2 linked regions of the Stegostoma tigrinum genome follow. The protein of the gene in region 2 purifies or fractionates together with the protein of the main gene of each other region. This does not show direct contact. Links are inferred from orthologs where the notes say so. Each region holds a gene or a part of one and is shown on either strand. Other genes may lie near its edges.

What was found.
Region 1: the proteins of pde4dip (region 2) and cAMP-dependent protein kinase type II-beta regulatory subunit purify together in Homo sapiens (affinity purification with mass spectrometry; 4 studies listed by BioGRID and IntAct, counting the BioPlex papers as one, with this or other methods). This does not show direct contact. The link is inferred for Stegostoma tigrinum from reciprocal best matches to the Homo sapiens genes PDE4DIP and PRKAR2B.

Annotation. Positions count from the first base shown.
Region 1 is NC_081378.1:35,348,108-35,352,033, forward strand, and holds the start of cAMP-dependent protein kinase type II-beta regulatory subunit, read right to left. Parts: upstream 3,036-3,926; 5' UTR 2,858-3,035; intron 1-2,857. UniProt on the Homo sapiens protein: Regulatory subunit of the cAMP-dependent protein kinases involved in cAMP signaling in cells. Type II regulatory chains mediate membrane association by binding to anchoring proteins, including the MAP2 kinase.
Region 2 is NC_081361.1:47,559,916-47,563,841, reverse strand, and holds the start of pde4dip (myomegalin), read right to left. Parts: upstream 2,305-3,926; 5' UTR 738-2,304; coding exon 1-737. UniProt on the Homo sapiens protein: Functions as an anchor sequestering components of the cAMP-dependent pathway to Golgi and/or centrosomes.

The sequences.
Region 1 (3,926 bases), on a different chromosome or scaffold from region 2:
AGCAGGCCCAGTAGCACCTCAGGAGCACAAAAGCTGACGTTTCGGGCCTAGACCCTTCATCAGATGCTCTCTGATGAAGGGTCTAGGCCTGAAACATCAGCTTTTGTGCTCCTGAGATGCTGCTGGGCCTGCTGTGTTCATCCAGCCTCACATTTTATTACCTTGGATTCTCCAGCATCTGCAGTTCCCATTATCACAGTTAATAGCTGGCTTGGCTAACTCAGGAGCATTTTCAGGGGGAGATCCTACAATTTATCTGCCTCTCCCAAACCAGGGTTGCAAAGAACAGGAACGTAGGGCCATTGTGAAAACAAAAACTCGGAAGCAGTTCCTTAGAAAACAGGAAGGTGTCTAGAATCTATTGCAATCTAAATATATATGGCCCACAGATTCCTCAAGGTCTCAAACATCACAAGTAGCCTGCAAATGCATAAACCCACTTAATCTATGAATAGGTGGGACTGCAGTCCTCTTTTCAAGATATTTTCCCATTCAACTAGTTCAAGGATGTTGTCATACATCACTGGAACTTAAATTTAGGCCTTTTGGCTCACAGATATGTGTACTATCACTGCATCACAAGAGCCGTATCCTTGTTGCTATGCTCAGTCTAAGGGCCGAACTAATTAACAGAGGTGCAGATAGAGCAGAAGAGATACTTAACATGAAGAGACACTTGTGTTGCTCAACAAGGTGTTGTTTATTGCACAATAACAAAAGGTACAATTATCATGAACTAATTTGGGATAATTAAAGTGATCATGAGTCAGGTGCCTGCCTCCATTAGGAGCTTATGCAAAATTGTCCTGAGCAGTCTTGAGTCCTACCACAGTGGAGGGAGTGAGCTTGAATTGAATAAAAATCTGGAATTAAAAGTCTAATAATGAACATGAAACCATTGCTGGACAAAACCCAACTTGTTCACGAATGTTCCTTTACGGAAGGAAACTGCTGTACTTACCTGGTATGGTCCACATATGACTCCAGGCCATCAACAATGTGGTAGACTTCCAGTTGCTCTCTCTGAGCAATTAAGGATGGGTAATAAGTAATAACCTAGCCAGAAACACCCTCATCCCGTGAATAAATATAAATAACATGTCGGATTGTGTTGATTAAAAATATCTAGACATATTTATTTATTATTTTAACCAAACACTTAAACACATCCAATTTCCTGCCAATATCCAACTGTATGTAGAATTAATTCATTCCTGTCCTGACCTATTTCATCTTCTGGTCCTTAAAGCCTCAAATTGAAGATTTGTGTTGTGCATCTGTGGACTGAGAAAAACGGAGTCAGAATTTCAGTTCTTTGACCTTGTAGCAGAATGGAGTCACTGACTCGATAAGTTACCTTTATTTTTTTCTCTCCATAGATGACTGTGAAGTGGCTTGGGACATTTTCAATTTAAAAGCATTATTCATTGAAGCAATTATTATGATTTTAACTAGTTTCAAGTAGAGTGGACTGAATTAGTGATCCCACTACCTAAATTAAAAGAAGCAAAATTCTATATTCTCACTTTTGATCTTACCAAATATGTAGACCTAAATGTGGCCCTTTGATTCTGCCCACTGAAGACTCCCACTGAAACCAAAAACTTGGAAGCAGCTCTTTAAAAAAAACAGAAAGGGTTCTATAATCGACTACAATCTAAATATATACGGCCCACGGATTCCTCCAAGTCACAAAACTTACTTGGACTGCAAATCCACAAATCTACTTAATCTTAATTAACAAATACAATGAAAAATATATGCTTTCCTAATGTTGGTATAAATGATTCCATGGGACTGCAGTCCTCTTTTCGAGACATTTTCCCAATCATCTTGTTCAAGGATGTTGTTACACATTGCTGGAACTTAAATTTGGGACTCCTGGTTCAGAGATATGTGTACTATCACTGCACCACAAGAGCCCTATCCTTGTTGCTGTGCTTTGTCTAAGGGCCAGACAAGTTAACAGACATGTGAGACAGAGCAGAAGAGATCCTAAACATGAAGAGACACTTGTGTTGCATAACAAAGGGTAGTTTAGCTGCACAATGGCTCAAGTCTTCTTTGCAGAGGTATTTGTCCCGATGTTAAATTTGTGATGACGTTATAAAAGTTCTGAGACTCATGCTGACTGCTTGAGTTTCCTTGACTTGTAGGCCTCACACTCATGCCCCAAAAACAAAAATCAGGATGCATTCTTTTTCTGTTCATTGGATATTTTATCCAAAATTCAGATTCCTAGACACAGGACATGAGTGTAAAAGTTATAGGCTTTGTCAAAGTATATTGTGTCTTGCCTATTTACCATTACTTCCTTATATGCCCTTCAGTTAAGCTTACCTAGCATTCAATGAACAAAATCAATCAGAAATGTATGCTTTCCTAATGTTGGTATAATTGAACAATTCTGAAACATAGCACTATCGAAATCCTGTATTAAACAGCCTAGAAACAACTTGTGAATATTTTGTTCGGATCTTCACAATTTATGTCCATTTAAATTTTGCATATAACATTGAGTTAAATGGAATAAGTGTTTAAAAATAGCTTTGAGCCCTTACTCCAAGTAAGATTTCTGTTCCAATAACATATATAAACCCAACCAGAGTGCCCCACATACTTTCTTCCACAGTCCCCCTTCCCCAGGGGGAACTCATTAAGGATCTGCTTGAAATACAGAAGGACATTTGCTACAGTCTCTCATTTGTTCAATGTTTTCAGGGTATCATATCCCTAACCCCCTTAGAGACCCCCTTTCTGAGGCCTCGCACATACCATTGTTTGGTTCACTACAAAGAAAGATAGCAATTAAGACAGTTTCATACACTTTGTCAGTATTAACACAGAACCTACTCACCCCATTCAGGAAACATTCCAATGGCATGAGACTTATTTTAGCACTAAGATGTGATGTCCTGAAAAGTTACTTGGCATTTACCAAGGAATAGAATAAATATAAAACCCAGTAAACTTGACACATAGAATTCTTCAGAAATCATGTACGACATCTGTCATGTAATTACTGTGATTGCAGTATAACTTGCACTGCCATTGTTGACATTTCAGGATGATTAGCACGGCATTCTGGTGCTCATTAGAATAATAACAAAATACAACAGATGATATACCAAATTCAGGCACTAGAATTTTCCATGCAGTTGGTTGGCACACACACAGCTCAATTGTCCTTCCCACACACTGGAATAAATCATACTTTCCAATCAGCAGCTGCATGACTTCAGCTCGTTGAAACTTTAAAGTATCCAATCAGGATCCAACAGCGAGAACTATAATTTAGCATTTGACAAACAGGAAATGACCCTTTCGATTCCCATATTGCATCATGTTGATGGGAATCCAGATGTGTTAATTGGAAAATTGCAATCTTATGGCTCAAAAAAGTACCAGTCATCTTGCTTTCTCTAATCCATCTCCCTCTGCACTGTTAGTGCTTAGTTCTCTCAGTTACAATCCTTAAACTAATCCCAAATCTTCTGATGTAAAATGTCTTTGTTATATGATACAAGGATATTTTCTTAGGATGTAACTAAATATTTGCATCCTCTTTCAAAAACCCTTCAGGTATAGACCTATTGTTCAACTTAAACCCATTATTTCACCGATTGTTACAAATTTATATCTTCTTCAGATCTTTGCCTCCCACTCTTACACCACACACACGCATACAATTGCATTTCCACTGCGACTCTATGTTATTACTGCCTTCAAGATACCAATAAAAGGATTATCCCTTGCCTCTGATCTTCAACAATGACACAGTTTCTCTTCGAGATCCATCATCTACCATTTTTAACCATCAGTCTCTGTCCCTAAAAGATCCTGCTTGGATATTTGTGCATGACGACATCATCAGGAAAGTCTTTTCATCTCCCTCTATCTTCCAGAGGGACCACTCCCTTTTGACA
Region 2 (3,926 bases):
GGAGATATTTTATCCAGTGAGTCAGCATAGACAGAAGTCCTAGACTCACACTGCCCAACAGGCACCGTTTCACATATGACTGGCATTGCAAGTCCTTCCTCAGCAGTTGTGCTGCCCACCACACTACTTCCACACTTAATGGAATGATCAGAAGAAACAGTCTTCGCCAACTTGCGAGGTAGTCTGCAAACTGCCTCATAATCTGCATCAGTCACACGCAAGGCTGAACAGCTGCGACACTTCCGGGATTTGTAGCTTGAGGTGTCTGAAGTCTGGCAACTGTGAGTTTCCATGGCTTCCTCACCTTGCTCTGTCCATGATTCAAATCCAGAATATACAAAGTCATCCTGTAGCAGTGCATGATACCGAACATCAGGTAGGTTGGAGCTCCCCACTGCAACATCCTCCCCCTTGGTGTCAGTACTTGGCTCCTCATTATTTTTACGATATAGACTAGCTATGCAGTACTTGATACGATCTTTCTCTACGAGTAACTTCTGCAAACGCTCAATGGACAGTGCCTCAATCCTTGCAATAACTGTATCAAATTTGTAGATACGGTCTAACATAAATGCACATTTGCTGCAAGCAAACTCTGCCTTGCCATCTCGAGATACCTCTTTTTCCAGTACGTGAGATAGGATAACCTGTAGGTTTAGTCTGGAAGCTGTGTGAAAGATCCATCGTCGTTGGTTACCACACAGTTCCCGGGCACAGATCCTACAAACCTCCTTCATTCTCCAGCATGTAGTTGACTGAACACTGAAGTAGCTAAAATAAACACACACAAAAAACAACCAGCCAATGTGTTTAAATATGAAGAGAAATGTCACAAACTTAGTTCACGTGGGCTTTGACCTTGGGTTCTGGAGAATAATTAAAAAGCTAGCTGGTTTGTATCGATAAATAGGTAAAGTTTCAGCAGCAAAGCTTCAAACAACCGGGCCAGCAGGAAGCCAATCAAAATCCGTGCTTGTAAGCAAGCCACCAAATGTACACAGGCTCCTGTGCACTGCCGTTGCATCCCACATTAATGTTGGGCTGTAAGTTATTCAGGGTTTTTAAAAAAAATGACAGGCGTTATCTGGAGGCATTTCAGGGCGTAGGTCGGCGGCGTCACTTCCAATCTCGGTATTATATTAACGCTTTTACAAATGATGTTCCATAAGCATAAATACCCTGCAATAAATTATTAATTCAAAATCGGTATCCTATATAATTGAGTGTTCCCTCATTTTCTTTGTCTCCAGTTTAAAGGCAATCCTGGTTAAATTTAACGCAATTACAGGTGAATGAAGAAGTGGGCGGCGGTTCCTACGTTTCAGAGAAACAGTATCTTTCTCCGAGAAATTTCGGCCAAGGGTATCTGTTCACGAGCAATGCCAGTAAGAGTTCATTGCATCGTGTCGCCGAATGAATACCAGCCCGTTTTATTCTCGAGTCGTTTGAGAAACATCTGCATCTCGCTGGGCACGCTGACTACCCAAGGTATGATATTAATTCGGCCAGAGAGAGAAAGAAAAAAAAAAATCACCAGTCACCAGCCCGTCGTCATCTTCGCTGCTCTCAGTCAGTGGTGGTGGAGAGCGAGTAGTTTCATATCGGAGGCTGAAGGCACTGCGCATTGAATATCAAACAAAGGCACCAGAGGCCGATTAACGGGAGCAGACTGAAAGAGAGAGATTCTGCGTAAAATTAATTAAATCACGTCCCGTTAGGTGGCTTTCCCGGATGCGATGTCAGGGGGGACGGGAAACTGCTGCTTTGTAATTATCCAACCCGGCAGTGATGTGGCAACAATGTCGCCGAGTCTGACTTTCTGTTTCGGGCAGACATCTGGGAGAAACCACCCGTTACCTGGGGAGAAGCCGCTACATTCTGCCTCTCTCCAGCTCAATGCCCAATCACGTACTGTACTGCGACCGACAACAAAGTAACCGCATTCAATCAGGCACAATTCCGGGAGGTAACCCACCGGAAAAAAACCTCCAAAGGCGAAGAGGAAGGACCGATCAACCCTTGCGCGCACCCGTCTGCATCGTGGTACGGTTCTCCGCCCCGGCAGCCCGTCTACATCTGGAGGAATATTATCTTTCTCAGAGATAAATTTTCTGAAGAAGGGTCTAGGCCAGAAACTTCAGCCATCCTGCTCTTCTGATGCTGCTTGGCCTGCTGTGTTCTTCCAGCTCTGCACTTGTCTCATATCTTTCTCCGGCTCGGTTTCCCATGTCGGGGGGAAGACTCTAACCAAGACCCGGCTCCCTACTCACGAACGAACTCCCATCCCACACGCACGCACGGAAAATCGGACAGAAAAATTTGTTTCCGCATGTTGTGAATAAGGGGTTAAATGTTGTGAAAACACCGCGGGTTTCGACAACCTGGCTTGATAATTTTGTATCGGAAAATATTTTTTGCATTTATCTTGAAAGATAGTTTTGTGCGAGGTTGGCGGGCATTGTGGTAAACTCCCCGCTGCAGTCACGAAAAATACAACTGATCCCTTGTCTCGTACTCTTTTTCAAAATAAAATCTGTAAGCCATGAATGACCTGGGTGCTTCAAGTCCTGGTTTAAAATCGGGAGGTTCAGAGCAGTGTCAGAAATGTTCTAGTAATCCATAGAAAAAAAACCCAATACATTTGATTGTTCCATGCCGTTCTGACCTTAAGTTGGGAATGCTTAAGAAAAAGAAAACGCTTTATTACGGTCTCTTGCAGGATCTTGTACCCTACAGCCAAAAATACGTTTTGAATGATCACCGAAAATGCTGGAGAAACTCAGCAAGCCTGGCAGCATGTGTGCAGCTAGAAGCAAAAGTTAATGTTTCGAGTCCAGCATAAGTCTTCAGAATTCAGACGATGCCTCTGGCATTTTCTATGTTTGTTTCAGATTTATTGCACCAGTAGTATTTTGCGCAAAACATATCTGACACGCAGTTATTAGCATCAGACAATTTGCACAGGCTAGACCCCACAAACAGCAGAAAAGTAGATAACCAGATAATTGGAGATATTGGTTGAAGGACAAATATGAGCTAGGTCACCTTACACGCACTGATTCTAATAGTGATCATGACAAACATATGCACAAATCCATTGACTTTTTTTGGCTTCTTCCCTCTCACCGTAACCCCCTGTTCACTTTTGATGTTTTGCATTGCCCTTCATAGGCTTTATATTTAAATATTTAATTGGCTACCCAAATGATTTACTGGTGGTGGTTAAAAAAGGGGAAAAAAAAATCAGTGATTTTGGTGATGGGAAAGTTGCATGTGATAGCACTTGTGTATGTACAAAAAAAAGCAGGAACACAGTAGGCCATTTAGCCAATTAGTTCTTTCCTGCTATTCAGGAGACCATGATTGATCTTATTGAGGCTTCAACTCTATCTACCTGCTCCTCCCCATAAAACTTTCCACATCCTTGATGTACCATATGATTTTTTAAAAATTCCTTTGATGGTGCAGATGGGGCCTTGGTTAAAGGATTGTCTAAGAAGCAAAAAAATCCTAGCCATACTTAAATAAATTGACATTTTAGGACTAAATTTTCTCTGCTAAAATGGGTAGCTGAATTGGGGGATTTCCGAATTAACTGATTTGTCTCATTAGAAAGGAGCTTAAATCTCACGATCAATACTCTGGTGGGGTATCTGGAAAGATGAGATAGACCAGTACCTACTGACCTAAGAAGCTTGCTGGCCATGATGGCAGGCTGTTTTTTTTTCAGAAAGCCTACCTCATTTCTTTATCTCAGTAGTGTTATAAAAGATGTAATGCACTCATGTCTTAAGCCCATCCATTCCTCATTATCCTCTCATCCAACCAACCTACGCCATGAGCATTCAGCTGTGCTGACAGATTTCTTACACCTGTTCTTATTACGGATCCTTGGCTCAAAACTCAGACCCAAAAGAATTATCTTG